Linked DNA regions of Xenopus tropicalis. The protein of the gene in region 1 purifies or fractionates together with the protein of each later gene. This does not show direct contact. Links are inferred from orthologs where the notes say so. Each region holds a gene or a part of one and is shown in the gene's direction. Other genes may lie near its edges.

Region 1 (3,500 bases):
TTTCAGCTAACCTATTGTTTCTCCTACTCCCATGTAACTGGAGGAGTCCCAAGCCGGACTTGGATTTCTTACTATTGAGTGCTATTCTGATACCTACTGGGAGCTGCTATCTTGCTCCCTTCCCATTGTTCTGCTGATCGGCTGCTGGGGGTGAGGGGGGGGATATCGCTCCAACTTGCAGCGCAGCTGTAAAGTGTGACTGAAGTATATCAGAGCACAGGTCACATGTTTGATTATAGCTGATACAACTACTTTAAGTGGCAGCAAATGACAGAGGTGGATCATTAGGGCCTGAGAGGTGTCCTGTTTGTCTCTGTATAAACATCGCTTAACCCTTGACTGTCTTCTATACCCTAGGTACCTGGTTGATTTAGGTTGCATCAAACCTCTTTGTGACCTCCTGACTTGCATGGATTCCAAGATCGTACAGGTGGCCCTGAATGGCTTAGAAAACATACTGAGGCTGGGCGAGCAAGAGGCAAAGCGGAACGGGACAGGCATTAACCCTTACTGCGCTCTTATTGAAGAAGCATATGGTGAGTGCCAGCATGTGGGCTGCCCCCGGGGCTACACAGCGGGGTATTTATATAAACTATAGTAGGGTTTCTGTAGCAAACACCCCAGCTGTACCGTTGCAGGAATGGCTGCCCCTGGGGCTACACAGCGGGGTATTTATATAAACTATAGTAGGGTTTCTGTAGCAAACACCCCAGCTGTACCAGTGCAGGAATGGCTGCCCCCGGGGCTACACAGCGGGGTATTTATATAAACTATAGTAGGGTTTCTGTAGCAAACACCCCAGCTGTACCGTTGCAGGAATGGCTGCCCCTGGGGCTACACAGCTGGGTATTTATATAAACTATAGTAGGGTTTCTGTAGCAAACACCCCAGCTGTACCAGTGCAGGAATGGCTGCCCCCGGGGCTACACAGCGGGGTATTTATATAAACTATAGTAGGGTTTCTGTAGCAAACACCCCAGCTGTACCAGTGCAGGAACGGCTGCTCCCGGGGCTACACAGCGGGGTATTTATATAAACTATAGTAGGGTTTCTGTAGCAAACACCCCAGCTGTACCAGTGCAGGAACGGCTGCCCCCGGGGCTACACAGCGGGGTATTTATATAAACTATAGTAGGGTTTCTGTAGCAAACACCCCAGCTGTACCAGTGCAGGAACGGCTGCCCCGGGGCTACACAGCGGGGTATTTATATAAACTATAGTAGGGTTTCTATAGCAAACACCCCAGCTGTACCGGTGCAGGAACGGCTGCTCCCGGGGCTACACAGCGGGGTATTTATATAAACTATAGTAGGGTTTCTGTAGCAAACACCCCAGCTGTACCGGTGCAGGAACGGCTGCCCCCGGGGCTACACAGCGGGGTATTTATATAAACTATAGTAGGGTTTCTGTAGCAAACACCCCAGCTGTACCGGTGCAGGAATGGCTGCCCCCGGGGCTACACAGCGGGGTATTTATATAAACTATAGTAGGGTTTCTGTAGCAAACACCCCAGCTGTACCGGTGCAGGAATGGCTGCCCCCGGGGCTACACAGCGGGGTATTTATATAAACTATAGTAGGGTTTCTGTAGCAAGCACCCCAGCTGTACCGGTGCAGGAACGGCTGCCCCCGGGGCTACACAGCGGGGTATTTATATAAACTATAGTAGGGTTTCTGTAGCAAACACCCCAGCTGTACCAGTGCAGGAACGGCTGCCCCCGGGGCTACACAGCGGGGTATTTATATAAACTATAGTAGGGTTTCTGTAGCAAACACCCCAGCTGTACCAGTGCAGGAATGGCTGCCCCCGGGGCTACACAGCGGGGTATTTATATAAACTATAGTAGGGTTTCTGTAGCAAACACCCCAGCTGTACCGGTGCAGGAATGACTGCCCCCGGGGCTACACAGCGGGGTAATTATATAAACTATAGTAGGGTTTCTGTAGCAAACACCCCAGCTGTACCAGTGCAGGAATGGCTGCCCCCGGGGCTACACAGCGGGGTATTTATATAAACTATAGTAGGGTTTCTGTAGCAAACACCCCAGCTGTACCGGTGTAGGAACGGCTGCCCCCGGGGCTACACAGCGGGGTATTTATATAAACTATAGTAGGGTTTCTGTAGCAAACACCCCAGCTGTACCAGTGTAGGAAAGGCTGCCCCCGGGGCTACACAGCGGGGTATTTATATAAACTATAGTAGGGTTTCTGTAGCAAACACCCCAGCTGTACCCCAGTGCAGGGCTGCAGTACATTATATTTTAATTACTTAAAAACACTTTTTTGGTGTAACTGTTTCTTTAACATCCCACAGAGGGGCCCATAGGGAAAGCTCGCCCCCTTGTGGCTCTAAGTCAGACAGTTTCCCACTCCTGCTTTGTTACACCCTCTCTGTTGATTGGCATTAGAATTCTTTATTCCTCTTTCCTTGGCCCATAGATATGACTGCAGCGGGACAGCCATTTCTGTCAGGCCCCCAACCCCGCTCCCTTTCCTAACCAAGGGCAAGATCAGCCTAAGAGCATAAAGTACAATAAAGCAGAATCCTCTCCTATTTGGGCTAGGGGCTCTCGTTTCACCCTGTTAGTATTACCAGCTGTGGGGTTCTAGCCCGACCAGCTCCCCCATGATGTTCCGTGCTCACTGACCCACCTATGTTCTATCCCTGCCTGTTCTAGGACTGGACAAGATCGAGTTCCTACAGAGCCATGAAAACCAGGAGATCTACCAGAAGGCGTTCGACCTGATCGAGCACTACTTCGGCACCGAGGACGAGGACAGCAGCATTGCCCCCCAGGTGGACCTCAGCCAGCAGCAGTTCATCTTCCAGCAACGAGAAGCTCCCATGGAGGGTTTCCAGCTCTAACCCCCCCCCCCCCCCCCCCGCGCTGGGCTCCGCGTGCTGCAGTGCGAGTGCCCCCCAGAGCGCTCACTCACTGTTTGCTGTGTTCAAGCTCTCGCTCACTCCCGCCCCCCCTACACTTCTCTATTTATTCAGCCACCTTTTATTTCCCCCTCTCCTTCTCTTTCTGCCTCTTTTTTTCTTGCTTCCACCTAGTTTTTATTTTTTCTCTTTCTCCCCCCCCCCCCCCCCCCCCTCGTTGCTACGTGACAGACCCAGCCGGATGCTGTCAGCGGATTGGGACTGCTTGCCCTGGTCCTAGAGGTTCCACGCCGTGCCTCATTCAGCACCACTACAGTTCTGGTGTCGGCCCTCCTGCTGTGCTTTTGACATATCTTCATTTCATATGACTCGAGTATTAGAAGTATACAGGAACTCCACGGGCAGAGCCGCGTCCGCGGAGAAGGACGGAAACGAAATGGACGAGACGTTAATACTGACACGAGAATATCACTGTCCCGAGGCCACTACGACGCGCGACTGTACCGCTCGATATCTGCTTCATGGGAAACTACAAGCCAAACTGGGAGAGAGCTTTGTTCCAGCCTGGGAACCGGCATTAATATTTAGCTATAAAACCGCAAATCCCAAACACGAAA
Region 2 (3,500 bases), on another chromosome or scaffold:
TGTCACTGTGTCACCCTGCAGGGGGAGGGGCAGGCTCACGGCTCCTTCTGTCTGTGTCACCCTGCAGGGGGAGGGGCAGACTCACAGCTCCTTCTGTCTGTGTCACTGTGTCACCCTGCAGGGGGAGGGGCAGACTCACGGCTCCTTCTGTCTGTGTCACTGTGTCACCCTGCAGGGGGAGGGGCAGACTCACAGCTCCTTCTGTCTGTGTCACTGTGTCACCCTGCAGGGGGAGGGGCAGACTCACAGCTCCTTCTGTCTGTGTCACTGTGTCACCCTGCAGGGGGAGGGGCAGACTCACAGCTCCTTCTGTCTGTGTCACTGTGTCACCCTGCAGGGGGAGGGGCAGACTCACAGCTCCTTCTGTCTGTGTCACTGTGTCACCCTGCAGGGGGAGGGGCAGACTCACGGCTCCTTCTGTCTGTGTCACTGTGTCACCCTGCAGGGGGAGGGGCAGACTCACAGCTCCTTCTGTCTGTGTCACTGTGTCACCCTGCAGGGGGAGGGGCAGACTCACAGCTCCTTCTGTCTGTGTCACTGTGTCACCCTGCAGGGGGAGGGGCAGACTCACAGCTCCTTCTGTCTGTGTCACTGTGTCACCCTGCAGGGGGAGGGGCAGACTCAGCTCCTTCTGTCTGTGTCACTGTGCCACCCTGCAGGGGGAGGGGCAGGCTCACGGCTCCTTCTGTCTGTGTCACCCTGCAGGGGGAGGGGCAGACTCACAGCTCCTTCTGTCTGTGTCACCCTGCAGGGGGAGGTGCAGACTGACGGCTCCTTCTGTCTGTGTCACTGTGTCACCCTGCAGGGGGAGGGGCAGACTCACGGCTCCTTCTGTCTGTGTCACTGTGTCACCCTGCAGGGGGAGGGGCAGACTCACAGCTCCTTCTGTCTGTGTCACTGTGTCACCCTGCAGGGGGAGGGGCAGACTCACGGCTCCTTCTGTCTGTGTCACCCTGCAGGGGGAGGGGCAGACTCACAGCTCCTATCTGTGTGTATGGAGCACATTTCAGATGAACCCTATATAATGATTATTTCCTTGGCCAGCAGAGGAGGTGAAGCCAGAGAGAGAAGCTGTGAAGGACACCAAAATGAACATTCAGAAGGAAGAAGTGAAGAGCAGCAATGGGAGGAAAGAAGAGAACAGACCAGAAAGACCAAGATTTATGTTTAACATCGCAGATGGTGGGTTCACAGGTAAGGAAAGCCAGTGGGGCAGACCAGACATACCTTCGCACATATCGGTTGTGTGTAAGCGGTGATGCCCCTCAAATCTGCTTGGGGTGCTACATGGGACCCCTCAGGTAATGATTTTCCATCCTGTTGCCTGCAGAACTCCATACCCTGTGGCAGAATGAGGAGAGAGCGGCCATCTGCTCCGGCAGGCTGAATGACATCTGGCATCGCCGGCACGATTACTGGTTATTGGCCGGCATTGTGGTGTATCCTTCCCTGCACCAATCACAATGTTCAATTACTGCCCTTTGTACTCAAACGCCTTTCGATCTTTACGTTGCTTTGCATGGGTGGAGGGTTCCGTGCTCCGTCCCCAGGGGCGACTGTGAACAGTTTCTGTAGTCCTATAGGCTGTGTCTCTACTAGGGCAGTGTCTGTTTCATTTGCTTAACCCTCTCACAGACATGGCTACGCTCGCTGGCAAGACATTCAGAACGATTCCCCATTCGCCATCATCAATGAACCCTTTAAATCGGAGGCCAACAAGGGAAATTTCCTGGAGATGAAGAACAAATTTCTTGCTCGGCGATTCAAGGTCTGGCTCCGCCTTTCCACTTTTTATTATTCACCTGCGCCGTTCCCCCAACAACTCACCTTGTGTTGGTCTCATCTGTCTATCTTTGCCCCACCCACTCACCTTGTGTTGATGTCATCTGCTTATGTTTGCCCCTCCCATCTATCTGAGTTTGTCCCACCCACTCAACTGTGTAATCCCAGCCATGTATCAGTTTGCTCTGCCCTTATGTTTGTCCCTCCCATCTATCTGTTTGTCCCACCCACTCAACTGTAATCCCACCCATGTATCAGTTTGCCCCACCCACTCACCTTGTGTAGATGTCATCTGCTTATGTTTGTCCCTCCCATCTATCTAAATTTGTCCCACCCACTCAACTGTGTAATCCCACTCGTGTCAGTTTGCTGTTTGTCCCTCCCATCTTTTTGAGTTTGTCACACCCATTAAACTGTAATCCCACCCATGTATCCATTTGCTCTGCCCACTCACCTTTGTGTTGGTCTCTCCTGCTTATGTTTGTCCCTCCCATCTATCTGCATTTGTCCCACTCACTCAACTGTAATCCCATTTATGTATCCATTTGCCCCACCCACTCACCTTTGAGTTGGTCTCGCCTGCTTATGTTTGTACCTCCCACTCAACTTTGTATTCCCACCCATGTATCAGTTTGTCCCACCCACTCAATTTTGTAACCCCACCCATGTATCAGTTTGCCCCACCCACTCACCTTGTGTTGATGTCATTGTTTATGTTTGTCCCTCCCATCTATCTGAGTTTGTCCCACCCACTCAACTGTGTAATCCCACCCATGTATCAATTTGCCCCACCCACCCAACTGTAATCCCACCCATGTATCTGTTTGCTCTGCCCTTATGTTTGTCCCTCCCATCTATCTGCATTTGTCCTGCCCACTCAACTGTGTAATCCCACCCATGTATCAGTTACTTTAACCCTAATCGGGTTAAGTAAAGGGGCAGCTTGGCGTGACCTGTCTCTGTTGCTCGTTCCTTAGCTGCTGGAGCAGGCCTTAGTGATTGAGGAGCAGCTACGGAGGGCAGCCTATCTCAACATGACCCAGGACCCCTCTCACCCAGCCATGGCCCTTAACGCTCGCTTCTCCGAGGTGGAATGTCTCGCCGAGAGTCACCAGCACCTCTCCAAGGAGTCCTTAGCGGGGAACAAGCCAGCCAATGCCGTGCTTCATAAAGGTACCCGAGGGGAGACTGTTAGGGGCAAATATGCTTAATGGGGCACAGATACTGTTGGTTCTGGCTACATGTTCCGCGGAAACAAAAGACTGTAGCAACGTTGTTTCATTGGTATATGTGGCCACAACCAACAGAGCAGAGAATTACACTTTCCGTTATTTATTTTATCTGGACTCTCCGTGTTATAGTTCAACCACAATCGCGAAGCAAGGTCTTGATCCCCCATTCAAGTAAACACAAGGGATTCTGGAAACTAATTCCAAAGAAAATCCCATATACATGGGTTTATCCTGTAGGCTAAACCTGCTGGGATTAGTTCCCAGAATTCCTTGTGTTTATTTGCATACGTATGAGGCGGTCTCCTCAACCTTGTTGTCTGTGTATCCCCATTGAAGGAAAGGGAGCTCCCCCTAGTGCCAATTGAAAATAACTGCAGGTTCGGCCAGGATTCGGCCTTTTTTCAGCAGGATTCTGCCGAATCCGAGTGCCTGAAGGTCGAACCAATTAATTAAAATCAATTCTTTTGCATATGCAAATTAGGATTC
Region 3 (4,062 bases), on another chromosome or scaffold:
GGCCGTCCCATAGTAAGTGCTATAAAGTCTATTTTACAACCAATAGCTATCTATATGGACTTTCTTTAACCAAAACTACAAGGGATATCTAGAATAAGGACACTGGGGACTTTTTAACCAAAGTTAAAACAGCATTGCCTTTATCTCTCAACAGTAAACTTGCTATAGACGTTCTTTATATAGTGATCCCTACATACTTGGGTATCCAAACAATCCGCCAACATCCGATTGCCCATCTAGACAGTACATGGCCATGTAATGAATTTCTTATGGAATTACTGGAATGCTGTCTCTCCAATTATTATTTTAAATTTGAACTTTTATACTACCAATAAGTTAGTGATACAAGTATGGGCTCTAATGTAGCCCCTTCCTTTGCCAACTTATACACGGCTGATTTCAAACAATTATACTCACCCCTTACAAGGACAAAATCACAGAATGCAGTATTTCATTTATGAAACATGGAGCAAGCAGGAGCATGCACAGTTGAATCTAGTGCGGAATCACAACTCTACATACTCCTGCAGGGTCAGTGTTGGCGGAGAGACACAAAGAAGATCGAAGGGAGTGAAGATGGAGCCTGCAATCTGCGCTGTGCTGCATTTTTATTTCAGTTGTTCAGATAGGGACACTTTGTTATTAAATAGACTATGCAGGGTAGGAAAGGTGAGGAGGCAGATGGAGGTCAGTTGAGTGGGGCTTTTCTACCTAGGGGGTTTAGTTCTCCTTTAAAATCAGGCATCATGTGATTTGTTACATCCTGTAATAGCAAGAGCCTTTCAATCAATAAGCACCAATTATAAATGATGACATTACTGAGCAGCACCTTTATTGAATTATTCACACATTTTGTGTAATATATATTACACACACACATATATATATATATATATATATATATATATATATATATAATACACCGCATATTACAGAACGATTTGTATATTATATTCCATAAAGCTCAGATAGAGTAAACTTAAACCATAGGGACGTGTATGTCGTTACTCACTAAACCAGCATTTTACCAGTTATTAAAAGTAAGGGATACTAGCAGACCAACTCTGCCGCACATCACTTTAATGCGTCCACAACTACTTCCTCCTTCCGAGCGCGTTCTACTGACTGCAGCCTTTGTGCGTCGTTTACTTCGGAGAAGTTCGGGTTTTCCCGTCTCCCTCTTCGGAAGTCATCAGTTGATTCCGGAAGCACTCGTTTATGTCCGGATATAATTCTTTCAATCGAACGCTTTGTCCCTCCCCCGGAAGGCTGCTCGCTTCTTTATGCCGGAAGTTGCCCCTCTTTCTTCCCCTTCCTCTCCCCCCACAGGCCCCGGAAACGCGCGCAGATTCCCGAGTTATTGTGCGCGGGAGAGAGCAAGATGGCGGCTAATATGTACCGGGTGGGAGGTGAGAACTCACAGTAAAATCATTCTGAGCCGAAAGCATATCTGTAGAGCTTTATACTATGTAGTTAAACACACACTTTATCCGCTGTAGAGGGAGAGTCTATACCCATACATCATCTGTACAGAGTAGCGAGCACCGAATGCTGAATTAAAGTAAACGCTTTTTATTTACATGCAGAAATGTAGAATGATTATCTTTATCTTATTTCTGTGCATTGTGTGTCTTTAGTCTAATGCAGAAAATATATAATACACACATAATATATATATATATATATATGCACACATAGATCATAAATATATATATTTATATACATACACACACACACACACACAAATGTCAGTATGTAACCTAAATACTAAAATGCTGCTGTGCTGTTTCTGCAGTATTAAACTAGCCCGGTTACTCTTTACCTGACTCAATCACACTCAGCCTAGTTTAGTGGCCGGGGCTGTTAGGACCACCCCTTATGTACCCTGCCTGTTTGTCACTGTTCATAATATTGATCAATGGAAACTGCCCTGACTTTGTGCACTGGCTTCTGTGAGGTCTGTCTGTCTGTCACTGCTTGTGTGTGTAAGACAGGGAGCTTCCATGAGAATAACCCCTGCTGATCTTGCTCAGAGGGCTTCTGTGCCAAATTGCTTATCAGGTAGATGACCCTGTAACCAGGACTGTACTGCCAATCTATGGAATCTGGCAAATGCCAGAGGGGCTGCAGGTAGATTCTATAGGCAGTCAATATTTATTGGGCTTTTTGGGCCTCTGTCTACTTGAAAAGCCAGGGCCACTTTTGATTGTCAATCTTGACCTGACTGTAATCCACTGTTTCTGGGCCATGGCTGCCCAAGGACATGTTGAACTCTCATTATCCTGCAGCATATAACTATAACCTGTCTATCTTGAACACAATCAAAGCTGGTATTTACACAACTTTTTTATCCCCAAGTGTTAATTTTCTTTACACTTGTTTATACATATTTATATAGGATTTTTTACATTTTTTTGTTTGCATAAGAAATTTGTGGGTATTTACAATTTATTTTCTTAACTAACCTTTATTAACATTCCATAATCTGTGAAAGAGCCTTCTTATTAATGTAGTCTGATCATTTATCCTTTGTATCAGTTGTGGTGCCAGTAAAGCTTACAGTCTAATGTGATAGATTGCATTCACACAAGTGGATGAATTTCATCAGGTGTCGGTTAAAAAGAAGGGAAGTTCAAGCACCCCCCCTTCCCACAGTGATTACAGTTAGTTGCCTGGTACCCAGGGCCATTTCTCCCATTTGCTGAAAACTGCACTGGACTGGGGTATTTTTGTAGTGGCACCACAGGGCAATTCTCTTCCTCTTTGCTTTTTAAGCTGGGAGTGCAAGCGCAGTAAAGTGAAAAGCTGCAGGGCTGTGGAGTCGAGGAGTCGGAGGCAATTTTGGGTACCTGGAGTCAGTCGGCAAAAAATGAACCGACTCCTACTAAATTTAAATGGGAATAAAAAAAAAATAAAGCAAGTTTAAATGTCCCAATTCACAAACAGTCATAATTAATTACTTCTCTGCTATAAGAATAAAGCCCAATGCACGCAGTGCATAAACAAACACGTTGAGTGACCATGAAGCATGTTTTTCATTGACTGTATGAATGTATAAAATACATTAACATGTTAAAAACAGAGGAGTCGGAGTCGGAAGTATCAGAAACTGAGGAGTCGGAGAATTTATCTACCGACTCCACAGCCCTGAAAAGCTGAACTAAAAACAAAAGTCCAGCCTTTTCATTCTACACCACCGTCTCCTTTAATAAGCCTACATGTTTTTGTAACGTGGAATTAAACTGCAGTATAATAATAACAAAGGTGTATTGGATTCATAGGAAGCAGTATGTTAAGCTTATATGTGATGCCTACTGAAATATGTTTTATATGTTTCAGGACAGTAAAGAAATTTGCCTGCTCAAAGTACCTATGTTAACATATGTTAAGTCCCTATAGTTACATTTTTTTTTTTTAGTAGCCCACCCAAAAAATAGTAACGGTCTATGGCATCTTACAGCAGCCCCTCTGGCATTTGCCAGACTCCACAGATCGCCAGTGCGGGCCTCATAGCAACTAATTAGATGTTTGTTTTTAAAGAGCTGGCCAGTAAACACTACTTGCCGATTGATTAATAGATGTGGGCTAGCTTAAAGGAACAGTAACACCAAAAAATGAAAGTGTATAAAAGTAACTAAAATATAATGTGCTGCTGCCCTGCACTGGTAAAAGTTGTGTGTTTACTTCAGAAAGTCTACTATAATTTATATAAATAAGCAGCTGTGTAGCCATGGGGGCAGCCATTCAAAGGAGAAAAGGCACAGGTTACATTGCAGATAACAGATAAGCTCTGTAGAATACAATAGTGTTTTATTTGTTATCTGCTGTTATCTGCTATGTAACCTGTGCCTTTTCTCCTTTTTTCCAGCTTGAATGGCTGCCCCCGTGGCTACACAGCAGCTTATTATATAAATTATAGTAGTGTTACTGTAGCAAACACACCAGTTTTACCAGTGCAGGGCAACAGTGCATTATATTTTTATTACCTTAAAGCTCTTTAATTTTTTAGGGTTACTGTTCCTTTAAATAGGTGATTCACCTTCAAGTTGACTTTTAGTATGT
Region 4 (3,500 bases), on another chromosome or scaffold:
AGTGGTGCAGCTAACAGGCTAGAAGTATTGGGGATCCGCTGGGGTGTGGTTCAGAAGGGCGGCTTTCTGGACTGGCCCTCCTTAAAAATTCAGCAGGCTGGGGTACATTACTTGTGATACTGCCATTTGCTAATGCATCCAGCTTTAATAGGTGCAGGGGGTGCCTGGTACATGAATGAAAATAGTGACGTGGAACTTGCAAGTTAGTACACTAGTGATTCTAGATAAGTCCAGCTTTATTGTTATCTCATCTGCATAAAAATATTTTTTGGCCCAAACCGTAACACACAGTACACACTACCTTTCCTCCTTTAATGTAAATGTAAGCTACTACCACACCTCTATAAGTAGGTATTTAATTTACACCAAAATAAATATGCTCATCACAATATATTCTTTTGTTTTTACACCATGTATCACTTTAAACTTATATTTATGGTAATGTCCCAAGCACTGCTTGTACTATGATGCATATACATCAAGATCCATTCTTTTGTATGACTGGTGCAATCCATTTGTACCAATTTTGGAGCATAAAAAGCTGAACACAAACCAAGGCAAAATGTTTAACTCACTTTCTGCTAAGCGGATGTGTTGATTTTCCAGTGGCCACATGGGGACAGCATTTATTTTCCCTGTAATTACTCTTTCCCAGTCAAGCAGATTTACACATGCATTATCTTGTAAAGAGTAATTGACCAACTCTAAGACAGATGGGTTGATTAGTCGCTGCGATTTTTAAAATCAATAAAAAGCATTATTCAATAAATATTTTGCTTGTATTTTGAGGCATGATATAGGGCAGGCAGTTCAAACGCAAATGCCGCAGGCTGCGAAAATGTGAACGTCATACTGAGTGAGGGCATCATAAATTCTTTGCCTTCAGACTCACAAAAGAAGAAATTCTGATGTTTAATAAGCAATTTTCCAAAATGTGAAATAACTGTAGAAGTAGAGCTTACAATTTATGGCAATGTTGACAGTAGGCTTAAGAGCCACAAATAGGGGTCTCAGTCTGACATGTTTTGCATAGGGTGATATGTGATGGTCAGTGTCATGGCAATTCAGAGATTACATTTTGTGTCCCTGTTCTCTAAATACAGTTGTAGAAAACAAGGCACTGGTTGTGGTTTGTGTTCGAAACAGGTGCAAGCCTTTGGTCATTCATAAGTCAGGGGATAAGATTTATGAATGGTTAGTGTAAGAAAGCTAACCTGTATTCATTGGGACAGATGCTCCAGAATTACTGTGTGCTCCTTGCCAAAGCCCCACTAAGTAACCTGAGCCTGCAGATAGTGACCCCCAGTTGTCAGACTGCAGTGCACAGCACAGACCCCTATATTAAATTCACAGGCTTCTTTTATATGTTCAGTGCACAGAATAATTTATTAAATTGCATTTTTATTTACAAATGATAATGTTAAACATATTGCTCAGTTGCTGTAAATGTAATGCAGTGTAAATGTTCCCATATTTATAACGTGTCATAAAGGTCTGTACAATACTCTTATAAGGACATAAAATATCTAAACATAATTTTGCGAGAAATGTCCCCAGGACAGAAAGTTATGGCACTTGCAGAAGATTTATGCAGACATTCATGATTTTTTAATAATCTCTATTGTGCCCTAAGAACACAGCTTGCCATACACTTTTACAGGGAGATTTACTAGTAATTTAACTATGTAAAATGTCACTACTAAGTCTGCTTTCTCTAAGATATTTCCTAGCATTATGTCTGCCAGGCGTCTGTGGGAGACATCAAAATGAGATAAAATGCCTCATGTGCCACTGTATGACATTTGGCACCCATGACTAGCTTAAGGAGATACCAACACCTGAAATGTAAGGTTTTTGTTTTTTTTTAAATATAACATTGTCTTTGCATGAGCTTTATTATTTTGCCTTTACATAACCTATCTGTTCCCCCATGTTCCTTTATGAGGGGGTGCCATATTTGTTCAGCAGTAGGAGTCTGTTAGCATTAGAAGCTATAACTGACAGGCTGAGAAGGGACAGTCAGGTTGGCAAAACACTCAGGTTTAGGAACTTCAATTAATAATTAATAATCAATTAAATAAAATATTTAACAGTGACAGTCACCAATGTCAATTAACTTATAAGATTTAGGGGATGGGTTGTTTCCTCCTTATTCCTGCCTGCAGACAGCAGTGAAAGCAACTACTTATTGCTTATTTTATAACTACATGTATGGGACCTGTTATCCAGAATGTTCAGGTAAGGTATCTTACTGTAAATTGGATCTCTGCTAAAAATCATTTAAACATGAAATAAACCCAACAGGATTGTTTTGCCTCCAATATAGATTCATGCAATTTAGTTACCATTAAGTACAAGGTACTGTTTTATTACAGAGAAAAAGGAAATCCTTTTTAAAAATATGAATTATTTTATTATAATGCACTATAAGAGATGGCCTTTCTGTAATTTGGAGCTTTCTGGATAATGGGTTTCTTTAGAATGGATCCCATAGCTGTGCCTTAATCTGCTGCTATAATATAAGGCTGTTCGAAAACTGCATTAACTGATCATGAGCAGTAGATGGAGCACATAACGTAATAAGCCTGTTGGTTCAGTAATGTTAGCAGATTACGCAGTTTGCTTTTATATACATAAAAGCAAGAGGGTATATATTACTTAATTCAGTTTTTCATGCACATTATGAACATGACACTCTTGCTAAGAAGTTCTCATTTTTTCTATGTCCTGCAGACTCCGAGAGCCAAAGAAGGATTTAATAGAGCGGGTTGTAAAAACTCTTGGAACCAAGAAAGCTATTGAGTTGCTTATGGAAACTGCAGAAGTGGAACATAATGGTGGACTCTTTATTCTGGTAAGGAAAAACGACATGCGATTATTTGTGGAATGCATTTTATGGGAAACATTGCTCCTTTCAAAACTGCATCAAAAAATGTTTTGTAAACCTCTTCCAATATGAGTATTAAAGTATGAGATCTGCCATTTTTTATTTCTTTTATTTAGATTTAAACAAGCCTTAATAGTGTTTTTCTCAGTGACATTAACTGTTCCAATTTCAGACTGCTGGTCTCCCTATCAACTAAAGAAAAATCTTCAGCACACCACTTACATACATGTTCTCAATGTTGTCAATTCACATAATTGAATGGCTGCTTGGGACTGTTTGATACTGCAGCCGTGATGGGGTTAATTGGTCACATGCTAGTGTCACATGGTCTGTTAAGGTATTTAGTGAGTAAATTGTTCACTTGTGTGTATTGCACCTGAAGAAGGGGTCACCCCCGAAAGCTTGTGCTGTTTTGCTCATTTCTGCAAATAAATGATTTAAAGGCATTGCCGACACAACTGGTGTGCTTCTTTCCCTTTGCAAAGCTCCCTATCAACTAAACAGGAAATCTTTGATCACTTTTCAATACAAAGACACTCTGCTAAGCATTTGGATCTAAAAAGCACCAGTGTCATCATTTCCTGTTTAACTTAATTTGGAGACAACAGGAGCA
Region 5 (3,500 bases), on another chromosome or scaffold:
CCCAGAAGGCTCTCCAGGTTGACTAGAGTAGTCGAATTGAAGAGAGAACTGAACAGGAAGTGGGGGCAGGCCTTCACTCTGCACAAGGAAGCAAAGGAAAGGATTAACTTCTAACTGAGGAACCAGGTCAGACTTTCATTCTTAAAATTAACAGTATTTAAGATGGACCTATTCTAAGCAGCTTTTTCTGTTGGTTTTAATGTTTAATTAGATGGGGTTTTTTGTTTTTTTTTAACTCCCATGCATTGGGGAATTTTGTAGTGAATTTTCAGCTATGTTGACACAATGCCCTGTGTACCATTGGAATACTAAATTAACCAATATTTTTTCTTCTCAGTGCTGGATAGCAGTCCTATCCTATCTTCTTTCCAAGTCATCCTTTTGGAACATATAATCATGTGTCGTCTTGTGACAGGACACAAAGCCACAGCTTTACAAGAGGTAGAGATGTTAAACTGGTAATAGAGAATTTTGCAGATGCCTGTGAAATCTTTTTCATTTTACATCTGTCTTTATTTCTCAGATATCCCAGGTATGCCAGCTCTGCCAGCAGTCTCCACGTCTGTTCTCTAACCATGCAGCTCAACTCCACACATTACTGGTAAGTAATAAATAGTTATGGAGCCACATCACTGGTTCTACTTTTTTTTTTCCAATGGAGAGTGCTTATGGTGTTTTAAATATTTAAAGTATGGTGCCTTCCCCATTCGATCTTGCACACCATAAGTGGCAGGCAATTATACTGACTATTTTGAAGAATATCTGGGAGGAAGCCACAGATTTGTGTAAAACTTCCTTATTATAACACAAGATAGATTAATCAACTTTAAAATTCTCTCTACTATTACTCAGCTGATAAATAACACAGGGTTTTTCCAAGTAAATCCTCTGCTTGTCCCCTCTGTTATCACCTCACTGCTGATTTTCTGTGGTTTGTGGGTATGCCCATTAATCGAGAAGTTCTGGTGAACAGTGGTTTAATGTCTTAGTGACAACCTAGCATTACCTCAAGTCATCTCTCCTTAAGTGTGCTAATTAGGGGGCCAATTCATTAAAACACGAGTTCGAAAAATTCGGATTGGATACGATAATTTCTGAAGATCGCAAATATCACGAAAATGCTTACGGAAAAAGCTTATTAGTCATGATAATATCGAATTGGCGATCCGAAAGTCACAAAATTTTCGTACCGAACAATTGTAAACAGTGACAGAACCTTCTAATCCTAATTTTTCATGCAAGCGTACGAAAAAGTTGCGCGGGTGTACGAAAAGTCGAGCAAGCGCGAAAAAAACGCTGAAAATACGCTCGGAGCGTTCGTGTCTTAATAAATCTCCCCCTTGGTGTGTAATAAGCGATCTAGTTTTTTATAAACATACCAGAATACTTTATCAAACTCTTATTTTATGCTAAAAAAGTGATTTGTAGCTCACTGGCTACAACCTAAGGCCCCTGCCTTCTTTACTGGCTAAACTTTAGTCAGTCTTATGCTTCCATTAATTACACTAACATATGAGGCATGTGGAGAGCTGGCTTGAGACTACCTAGCATTAAACCCCATCGAACCTGTGTACTTGAGCTGTATCAATAAGTGGCGATTTATCTACCTTAATATGTGTGCTAAACACTAATATACTGTAACATATGACAATATTTGTTTTGCCAGCTTTTAAATTAAAATGCTCCCACACTTTATTTTTTCTAATTGTATTTATGTCCTAGGGCTTATACTGTATCTCTGTAAATTGCATGGATAATGCAGAAGCACAGTTCACAACAGCACTAAGGGTAAGTATGTTTGCCCTAGGTTTTTACATTGTAATGATCCAAACTGACAGCCTCCTATAAAATCAAGACAAGCCCTTATAAGGATATTCCTGACAACCCTACAAAGCATGCAATGCAGTTCATATATTGCTATCAAACTTGTTTTCTTCTGTATTGCCATTAGCCTTTTCTTATATAGGGAGATATTCATGTGAAAAAATACTTAATTCTGCCTAATCTTAAAACCTTTACTACTGTTGTACTTGTACGCAGAATTTTTGTGCGGTTAACTTTATAAATTATTTTTGACATTGATCTCCCCAGCTCACAACGCACCAGGAGTTGTGGACGTTTATAGTGACAAATTTAGCAAGTGTTTACATCAGAGAGGGAAACAGGCACCAGGAGGTAAGCTGACTGATATATTTTTCTTAATTTTTAACACGCCAAGAAAAATCACTAACCAAAAGACACAATAGAGTCCATTCAAATCTGCCATTCTCTTGCATCCCCAGTTCATTTCCTATGTGCATGTACCAGTATGTATGTTTCAGTCATTACGCGTTGCTTCGGTTTTCCAAAGTCACCTGAAGTTTCCTTGCAAGGCAACTTCGGGCAACCGAAGCAATGCGTATACCATCCCACCGGCGATTTACATTCTTGCGGGTGGGTTGGCATGTCGGGGAGATTAGTTGCCCGCAATAGTGAAGATTTATCACGGGTGAGTAATCTCCCCGTGTGCTACTGCCCTAAGTGCTTTTTATTGGCCACATCAAAACAAACTTCACGTAAATAGAAAAAAAGGACAAAAGCATAATTAAGATAATTAAGTGATAAACATTTTTTTTATTGGGCCAGTAAGCCACATTGGGCCTGATTCACTAAAGTTTATTGCACGCTTTTTTGTGGAAAAAAAGACGCGATTCACTACAGCATTACCGCATGCGATAAGTCGCATTTTCGCATGCGGTATTTCTCGCGCTAGTTTTACCGCATACGTTCATTTCCGTGCTGAAAAGAATACGATCGCATGATTCACTATAACTTTTGCGCGCTAAATATCGCATTCGGCTATGCGAAAATTAACACCTACTACAGGCAGGCGAAAAATTATACAAAAGTACAGTAAATGATTTTTTGCAATAAAATATGGACTTACAGTGTTATTTATTCAAGTATGTGTTTCCCCTAGAGTGCCCGCACAACATTTTTGCTGTTTCGTGGATCTTTCGAAAGATTTGCTAATTTTCACTAAAGATAACCAGAACACATTTGCTCATCACTAGTGGCTACTATTTATAAGCATCTACTATTTATATGATACCATTTATATGCTACCATTTATATGTGGCTAATATTTATATACACCATTTATATGCGGCGACAATTTTTATACACTATTTCTAAGCTACCATTCATATGCGGTGACTATTCGCGGGCGTAATTTAGCACATGTACCAGCAAATACCGCATTGAAATAGTCTTCGCAAGTTAAATAACGCATGCAATATCGCGCGTAAAAAAGCGCGAGTATGCTTATAGTGAATCGTGCGAAAAATCGCCAAAATTAAGATGCGGTAAAAATTTTAACGCACGCTATAAATAGCGCACGTTAAATCGCACTTTAGTAAATCAGGCCCATTGTGCAGTGTTTCTGGGGGTTGATCTAGGTTATTTTCGTTTAGGAGAAAACTGCACCATCCAGAAGGAAAAAGTTGAGCTGCAGCTTCATC
Region 6 (3,500 bases), on another chromosome or scaffold:
GAGATGTGGGGGGGGGGGGCGTTTAAATTGGGGGTATCGCTGAAATCTTCTGCATACCTCCTGTGCTGTTTCAGTTCCCTATCATTATGTGCTGTGAGGGGAAACGAAAGGACCTGGGGTTAGTCTCTTCTGTGTTTTGTCTCAGTAGGAAACGTGGCTAACGTTCTAGCATTGCTGAAAAACTTTAAAGGGGAAGTATGATGTTAGGATACATGGGCCGATGTCATCACCAAGTGAGTGGATCTTCTCCCGATATCCCCACCTATGGGTGGGCGATATCGGGAGGAAGCAGGATAATTCTATTGTTTGGCCCTGGGGCCAAACAATCGAATTATAATGAAGGGCACAGGAAAAGTCGGTCCGGGGACCGCATCAACGAGCCGATGGTCCCCGATCCAACTAGATATCGGTCGGACAGGCCTGTCGGTAGTGCCCCTACACGGGCCGATTCGCTGCCGAATCAGTCTAAGGGACCCATATCGGCAGCTAGAATCCGCCTGTGTATGGGGACCTTTAGGACCTCCCATATGGGTATTACATTTCAGTGTAACAATCCTTAGGCACCATATATTTATAATTACCCACATGATTAGGGTAATTGTACTGCCTATGGGGAATAGAATCTGTCTGCAAAGTTCCTCTTGTTGGCTCCAAGTCTGTCCATTAATCTCTGTATGCTAGCTGCTGGCCCAAACAAGCATCTTTACCCCCTCAGGGTGAAGACACACAGAGCTACTAGTAGCAGCTACTTGTCACGGCTACTAAAATACAATGCTGATCCTTTACTGATACCTGCCAGCTCTGACTGAAATGGTCATGTTGGCACCCTATGTACAGTCGGCTTTTGTATTGCAGTCCCTGCGGCTGTTCCTTTTTCCTTTCCTGCTTCATTTCTGCAGCACAATGGAGTCAGTTCATATCTGAGCAATTTCTCTTTCCGCTTCGGTACTTCTCATTCTGTGTGCGCCTGTGCAAGCAGAGCCCCCACACCTGTACTTCTCAACTCACGTCCCACATGCGTGATGGTTGGGTTGGTTTGCAGCAAGGCTTAACAGTGAGCCCCAGGGTAGCACAGTGTACAATACAGTATTGGGCCTTTTGCTTCCTAAAATAGTAAGGATCATTTGTTGCTGAGCAGATAATCTCATGGCACTGAAAAGGTTACAGGGGTGGTTCACATTTACAGCATACTTGTGGTATGTAGATTGTGATGTTCTGGGACAATTTGCAATTGGTCTTCATTTTTTTTATTCTGAATGGTTTTTCAGCTATTTAGGCAGATAAGTAATAAAAGATAACAATAAAACTATAGCCTCCCAGAGCAGTAGTTTTTCCCTAGTTTGAAAGCTGGAAAGATGAAGAAGGCAAATAACTCACAAACTATAAAGAATAAATAATGAAGACCAATTGCAAAATTGTTAGTAATATGCCAGTATAAAAGGTAAACAACCCCTTTAAGGATGTTGAAGAATGTGGTTCACAGTTTAGGGCTCAGGTGGGTTGTTTTTTTGTTTTTTTTGTTTTTTTGTTTTTTTTTACCCAATAAGGTAACATTTATTCCCAGAACCTGTGGCAAAAATGTTAAGGCAGACGCCAGAGAAGCAACTTGGACCTGTGAGAGATGGGGGCACCCAAGTGGCATATGGATGGACATTTACAGTGTCTTCAGTGGTGTGCTTTTTATTGCCTTGGAGAGCACCTACTGGTGTAACACTTACCACCTGTTGTACCCCATGTACTAGTCCAGTTGGTGCAATTTGTATGCATTGTATATGGCATTTTTATGGGTGCACCCCCCCTTGCATTTCTAAATAAACTCACAGAAATAATGCATCTTTTGTCCTTTTAACATATATATAATATATTATTGAGATATTTCTCTTTATACCTTTTCTCCCAACAGAACCAGAACAGAGGCTCCTCGACTGGAAATGAAATCACTGAGCAGCAGTTACCAACCTGAGCGCCTGCAAGGCAGCAACAGGCAGCATATACTAAAACCAAAGCGGTCCCATCGCAAGGCTGACCCAGATGCTGCTCACAGGTAAGGGGTTATGGTGGTCATACATGCTAAGATCCGCTTGCTTGGCGATATCGGGCTAATTTGATCATTTGACCCGGGGCCAAACGATTGAATTAGAACGAGGAGTATAGACGCCCTTCGGTTCGAGGACCGTATCAGCGAGCCGATGTGGTCCCCAAAAAAAATCAAACCTGCCCGATCGATATCTGCCTGATTTCAGGCCAGATATCAGTCGGGCAGGCCCGTTGTTAGTGCCCATACACGGGCCGATAAGCTGCCGATATCAGCAGCTAGAATCGACCTGTGTATGGCCACGTTTAGTCGTGGTGGCTCCAGTTGAGCTACCCACATGGTTCTGTGTTTGGGGGTGGTGGGGGTGTAAGTAATAGGCAAAGCAGGATCATTTTCTGTAATCGGCTGTGTTTCTCTGCAGACCTCGCATCCTCGAAATGGATAAAGAGGAGAACAGAAGGTCGGTACTTTTACCAAAACAGAGGAGGCGGAGCCACTTCAGCTCCGAGAACTATTGGCGAAGGTCACATGATTATGTGGACACCTATACAGAAACGGGAGAAGACGACGGCAGCCCAGTCCGCAAAGTTAAAATGAGACGACACTGAGGCGGCCACTTTTCTGATCCCAAGAAGTTCTGACTTTTTCAGACTTTCTGATTTTTTGTTTCTCCCACTCGGCTCTCCACCGTTTCTCTGATATTGCCCCGTGGCTATGGGGGTGCATTGTAAATGATGGTTCCCCGCTGCTCGTGTTTATACCACCCCACCCGGGTCTGATTGTCCTCATCACACAACAAAAATTGGAGGTGTGCAAAAGCCAAGGGGTACCATGAATACTGTTGGAGGGGGACACAAGTTACCCTGAATACTGTTGGAATCGGTGGCTGCCAGGAAGTCTGTCAGCGCTGTGAGTTAAAAGCTGCACCTTGGCGTATAGTAAGGATCCCCATTGCTTGCTTGGCAGCTGCAATGAGGGACCAGAGCGCGTCGGAGTACAATATACAAAGACTCCCGTGGAACAGTCGGTTGATGTTTCAATGTTTTGTTTAGCACAGTTTCTCCAACCCTCACCCCTTTCTTCTGTTTCCCCCTCCCCCTAAATAAAAGAAACCATTCTAATCACTAATCAGGGGAACAACCCATAATTATTGATGCAGTTCTGCTTAGGCAGATTTCTGTGTGTTTAACACCCCCTCACCCCCCAGCTGGAAGATGCTGTATGGTTGTGACAAGGTGCCAGGGGGTTTATGGATTGCTGACTTGAGAATACAGCTGGCCAAGTCACTCACTCTCTTCTGCATCCTTTAAAGGGAAACTACAAGTTCTTTATATGAAAAAGCACTCCCTGCCTCGAGTGTACACAGTTGGATGTGGCACTTTTTTCATATGGGAATATTTTTTAAATTTCACCTCGGACTCCATTCTGCCCGTTTCTAAGCAGCACGCGGTTTGAGCATGTCCGA
Region 7 (4,282 bases), on another chromosome or scaffold:
CAGCTGCACCCGGGCAGGTGTGGTTTTCTCCCAAAAGGGGCACCAGCCCAGGGTAAAAGGTAAGCGATTAAAGTCACTGGGGGTGCCTAACATTTGGGGCACCCCAGAATGTTTTTTATCTTTCCTTCTCCTTTAATGAATCATTTTAATATATATTGATATTATAGGTTAACTTGGCTTTTTGTGACCCTAAATTAAATTTGCTGTGGGGCAGTAACATCTAGTTATGCCACTGTCATTTAGAGACGTGTATCCTTACCAAACTGAATGCCTTTTCCTTAAAAACACCTGCTCCCTAAAGCAGTACTATTCTGTCCAGTTAGCTGTCATTACCCTATCACCAACAGGTGTGGCCCTAGCTTTTGCCTTAAGGATAAGTAGAACATCGCTAGAGAAGTAGTTTCCCTCGCCTCTGTATCTATCAGACATCATGTATTTCCTAAGGACAGAGCCCCACAATACGCTGTTTCCTGGAGCTGACAATGTTTCCCCTGTTAGTCAGGCGGTATTCAACCCTACGGATTTGTTTTCATTCCCCCACAGCAGGACTTCCTTAACCCCAACACCAAGCAGATGTCACGGTTCTCTCTACTCATGGATGACGTTGCCTATGATGTAATTAATACACAGGTCCCCCACCCGGGACCGGGACAACTCAGCCAGAAGACAGGTGACAAAACTCACCCTCCAAACACAAAATGAAGAGCCCGCATAGGACTCTCGCACAATAAATGAAACCTCCCCACCTACCTGCCCAAGTAGGGGCATACCCCAGCCATAGCGTTGCTTCCCTCGATATTCTCATCCCTCTCTGCCCGGTCTCTAAGCAGCGGAGCGTCTGCAATTACTGCGCAAGCGCCAAACTCACTCCAGTAGGCCTGGCACAAATGCTGATGTGGCCTGACGTCAAGCCCCCTACCCACGCCTTAGTCAAATTATCATCCCAGGTGGGCGGGGCATTTCTGTTATTCGTCCTTCCGGCAAAATAAGGGATAAATGTAATGCTTGCAAGTGCCAAAATGTAATCGAGCTGAAATGGCCAGGCTGTCTTTCGCCCATGTCATATAATAATAGCAACGTAGGCGAGAATTATACACTAAACTAGGCTCTCTAATTGGAGATTAGTCACAGAAATGGTAACAAGCGATATGTCAATATTTACTGTATAAAAGTCTGCAGCACGTGTTGCTATTATGTCCAGTAGAGGGCGCCTAAACAAGTTTTCCTCTAGTAATTGCAATACAGTTCAGCAGTCATTTGTAGGAAGTAGTAACCCAAAGTAAGCGATTGATTGTATTTCCGGTACCCATACTAGAAACTGGCAATATTTGACCATAAATGTAACACAGAAAAAATGCAACCACGTAGTTGCGATAAACAGCACCGATTGTTATTGGTATTACGGAGGATGCATATCGTATATTAAAATCTATAGATTCAGGAACATATTTATTCAACCTAACGATAATTGCCAATAACTAAAATGGGCGTCGAGAGTTTACACAGTGACGTCAGTATTGTGGGTCTGGAAGCCTTGAGGTTTGTCTTGGATCGGTTGGACGCTGTTAGAACCCTCTCCTCGTGTAGATGGAGAAAGCGGAGGGTAGAAATGTCGAGGAGGGGCACTCAAAGGAGCTTCTTAATATCGGTGGTGGCGGAGGTAACGGTGGCAGCCTCAAAAACTGCGTTAAAAGTAGCCTTTCCTTCCAAATGTACTGCTTGCAGGGAGTTGCTAATTGTCACGTCTGCATTTTAACGTGTTGGTAGTAGGGCAGATCTTAGAAAACAGGAACTGCAGATCATACCTTGTCTTTTGCTGTGCTTTGAGGACTTCTCAATATGTCTTGCTACGCATGGAACTATTTTAATTTGGATGAAAACCCATGGGTTAAGCAGGCCATACATGCACCGATATCATACAAAACTTTTTGAATGATTTTTGGACCGTGTATGTGCTTGGAAATATCATACTGACAGTTTTCATAGTATGGCGATCAATCATTTATTTAATCGTACAGGATGGGAAATGTCTGTCTGATAAAGATTCTACTGTACAGCACTGCGTACATAAGTAGCACTTTATAAATAAAGATATACATACATACATACATACATACATCTGTACATGTATTTCCTATCTGACGGTATTCACGGGTAACCTATAATGTATTTCCAGGACATGGCTTTTTTATGATTGGTTATACCACTACCTACCTACAGTGTAGATACAAAGAAAGTATTCAGGGTGATTATCTATATTTGACAGTAATTATGTTTCTCTAATTGATAAAATAAAAATGCGGTATTAAAATATAAATAAAAAATATATAAATGTATTTAACACTTTGTAGAAATTTGTTGAATGCTATCAAATATGCATCAGTCCGTGATAAGAATTCTGGTTACATATGTCTATTTCTTTGTATGAGAGAAACATTTAATGAAAACCCTTTTCTTAACTGTGTAACAGTAGCCCTATACCAGGGTTGTATAGCAGTAAACCCAGGCTGTTCAAGGGCTCAGATTTTGTACAACATAATCATTTTAGTAGAACCAGGTTTTAACAATGAATATAATGGGGACAATCAGGCAAGTAGGTTCAGTGTTTGTATACCAGAACTTATAGCAGGGGTGCCTGATATGCAGCTAGTGACCCGTACAATACAGCAGCCTTGTACTGTCCAAAAGCAGTACCATTAGATCAAAAGTAGCAGTTTCCATGGCAAACTGGCAATGTCACACTTCAGTGTAATACATCCTGATGCAATACTTCTACTTTTCATTTTCTGGGCACCACGGATTTAATGCTTCAAAAATGGTAAACCAATGGAAATATTAGATATCAAAGAGAATGCATTGCAGTTTTCTTCTGCCCAGAGTTGTATGTTGCAATGTATTACTACAGGTAGCATTCTGTTAGTGGAAAAGTGTTGGATATGCATTTATTTTTTTCGAGTTCATAGTTGTAATAGTTTGTTCCCTTTTGTTTAGGCTTTTACAATCAGCTTCTGATAAATCCGAAATACAGCAATAAACAAGGATCCAATTCACCAATCACCAGAATGCCTAGAAGCAGCAGTAAGTAACATTCAGATTGTTTCTTTAGATATATAGAATTGCCAGTGCCTACCAGTATATGCATAATATTAATTATATATATGCGCACACTTAGACAAAGACTAAAACATTAGTTCTCTGCCCCTTTCAATAAACACACAACTTTTGTTGCAAGTATGTATAAAAATCTGTTTACACTGGTAAAAAAACAAATAATAATGGTTAAAAGGACATTACAATCTGAATGTTTAGCTTATAGAAATTGGCAAATGCTTGCTCTTAGTTTAATAGGGTTGTTGTACTATTTAATATTTATTGAAGCTCTATGCTACATCTAGCAATTATGGGGCCAATATGTGCAGTTATTTCATGTCTAATGCAGTGCCAGGGGTCAGTTTTCAGGGCATTAACTGTATACCTGAAACAGTTAAGCTGTCTATTGCACTTAGAAAAGGTATGTCCATGTTCTCATATATAATATCCTCTCTAGGTTGTGGGCCTAATCAGGCTGATCCCCTTGTTTGGCCTGGTATTCATTCACATAGGTGGGTTATTACATCCTGGTCCTTGGCAAACAGGAGGTTCAACTAGATAGGGAAAGCCATCATTTTGGTTCCATACGTAGGCCAAAAAGCTGCTGTCTTGGTCAAGAGTGGTTGGTCTGCGTTATACTGGCAGCCTGAATGAATGGATTTATAATAGATTCAGCTCAAATGGTTAAATCATGATTACAACATGTTCTGCTGTAAAGACCTGAACATTTTGTTTTAATTTGCAGCACTTAAGGCCTCATTCACAGTACTGACTTGTTCAGTTGCAGATAGTTTTTAAGTCTCATTTCTTATATGGCACAATTTTATATTTGTTGGTCAGGGGCTGGCAAAGGAAGAATTGTTATTTCATGATGTTTACTCTATCTCCCTATACTGTTAAGGGTGTCTGAGGACTGGGTAGACTCATTTCAAAGTCTAATCCAGTACTGCTGGCCAGGCACTAGATTACTCCATTAATTCATTGGATTTATAATGCTTAGTATTCTTACAACCAGATGTTACTCTGTAAGGGTTACAGATGTTGCTGCTTACTTTTCAGTTCTGGACAGAGTACAGAACTTCCTACCTCAGCTGGCTAAGGCCAATGAAAGTCTTAGTAAGGAAATAGAATCTTCTCCAGTTGGCACTTTTGACATTGAACACGTGGATGAGAAGGAAGAGAAGATAATTGA

The links.
Region 2: the proteins of kpna1 (region 1) and chd3 purify together in Homo sapiens (affinity purification with mass spectrometry; 3 studies listed by BioGRID and IntAct, with this or other methods). This does not show direct contact. The link is inferred for Xenopus tropicalis from reciprocal best matches to the Homo sapiens genes KPNA1 and CHD3.
Region 3: the proteins of kpna1 (region 1) and mta2 purify together in Homo sapiens (co-immunoprecipitation; 3 studies listed by BioGRID and IntAct, with this or other methods). This does not show direct contact. The link is inferred for Xenopus tropicalis from reciprocal best matches to the Homo sapiens genes KPNA1 and MTA2.
Region 4: the proteins of kpna1 (region 1) and phax purify together in Homo sapiens (co-immunoprecipitation; 4 studies listed by BioGRID and IntAct, with this or other methods). This does not show direct contact. The link is inferred for Xenopus tropicalis from reciprocal best matches to the Homo sapiens genes KPNA1 and PHAX.
Region 5: the proteins of kpna1 (region 1) and mau2 purify together in Homo sapiens (affinity purification with mass spectrometry; 3 studies listed by BioGRID and IntAct, with this or other methods). This does not show direct contact. The link is inferred for Xenopus tropicalis from reciprocal best matches to the Homo sapiens genes KPNA1 and MAU2.
Region 6: the proteins of kpna1 (region 1) and alkbh5 purify together in Homo sapiens (co-immunoprecipitation; 3 studies listed by BioGRID and IntAct, with this or other methods). This does not show direct contact. The link is inferred for Xenopus tropicalis from reciprocal best matches to the Homo sapiens genes KPNA1 and ALKBH5.
Region 7: the proteins of kpna1 (region 1) and c12orf45 purify together in Homo sapiens (co-immunoprecipitation; 3 studies listed by BioGRID and IntAct, with this or other methods). This does not show direct contact. The link is inferred for Xenopus tropicalis from reciprocal best matches to the Homo sapiens genes KPNA1 and NOPCHAP1.

The regions. Positions count from the first base shown.
Region 1 is NC_030678.2:3,401,791-3,405,290, forward strand, and holds part of kpna1 (importin subunit alpha-5), read left to right. Parts: intron 1-357; coding exon 358-536; intron 537-2,677; coding exon 2,678-2,865; 3' UTR 2,866-3,500. UniProt on the Homo sapiens protein: Functions in nuclear protein import as an adapter protein for nuclear receptor KPNB1. Binds specifically and directly to substrates containing either a simple or bipartite NLS motif.
Region 2 is NC_030679.2:146,901,122-146,904,621, reverse strand, and holds part of chd3 (chromodomain-helicase-DNA-binding protein 3), read left to right. Parts: intron 1-1,044; coding exon 1,045-1,194; intron 1,195-1,330; coding exon 1,331-1,439; intron 1,440-1,635; coding exon 1,636-1,768; intron 1,769-2,759; coding exon 2,760-2,955; intron 2,956-3,500.
Region 3 is NC_030680.2:36,848,645-36,852,706, reverse strand, and holds the start of mta2 (metastasis-associated protein MTA2), read left to right. Parts: upstream 1-1,262; 5' UTR 1,263-1,381; coding exon 1,382-1,409; intron 1,410-4,062. UniProt on the Homo sapiens protein: May function as a transcriptional coregulator. Acts as a component of the histone deacetylase NuRD complex which participates in the remodeling of chromatin.
Region 4 is NC_030677.2:168,318,861-168,322,360, reverse strand, and holds part of phax (phosphorylated adapter RNA export protein), read left to right. Parts: intron 1-2,733; coding exon 2,734-2,854; intron 2,855-3,500. UniProt on the Homo sapiens protein: A phosphoprotein adapter involved in the XPO1-mediated U snRNA export from the nucleus.
Region 5 is NC_030677.2:113,781,220-113,784,719, reverse strand, and holds part of mau2 (MAU2 chromatid cohesion factor homolog), read left to right. Parts: intron 1-337; coding exon 338-441; intron 442-523; coding exon 524-601; intron 602-1,722; coding exon 1,723-1,788; intron 1,789-2,091; coding exon 2,092-2,175; intron 2,176-3,500. UniProt on the Homo sapiens protein: Plays an important role in the loading of the cohesin complex on to DNA. Forms a heterodimeric complex (also known as cohesin loading complex) with NIPBL/SCC2 which mediates the loading of the cohesin complex onto chromatin.
Region 6 is NC_030685.2:16,055,302-16,058,801, reverse strand, and holds the end of alkbh5 (RNA demethylase ALKBH5), read left to right. Parts: intron 1-1,903; coding exon 1,904-2,044; intron 2,045-2,456; coding exon 2,457-2,643; 3' UTR 2,644-3,163; downstream 3,164-3,500.
Region 7 is NC_030679.2:50,216,090-50,220,371, forward strand, and holds the start of c12orf45 (uncharacterized protein C12orf45 homolog), read left to right. Parts: upstream 1-1,482; 5' UTR 1,483-1,587; coding exon 1,588-1,660; intron 1,661-2,991; coding exon 2,992-3,078; intron 3,079-4,149; coding exon 4,150-4,282. UniProt on the Homo sapiens protein: Client-loading PAQosome/R2TP complex cofactor that selects NOP58 to promote box C/D small nucleolar ribonucleoprotein (snoRNP) assembly. Acts as a bridge between NOP58 and the R2TP complex via RUVBL1:RUVBL2.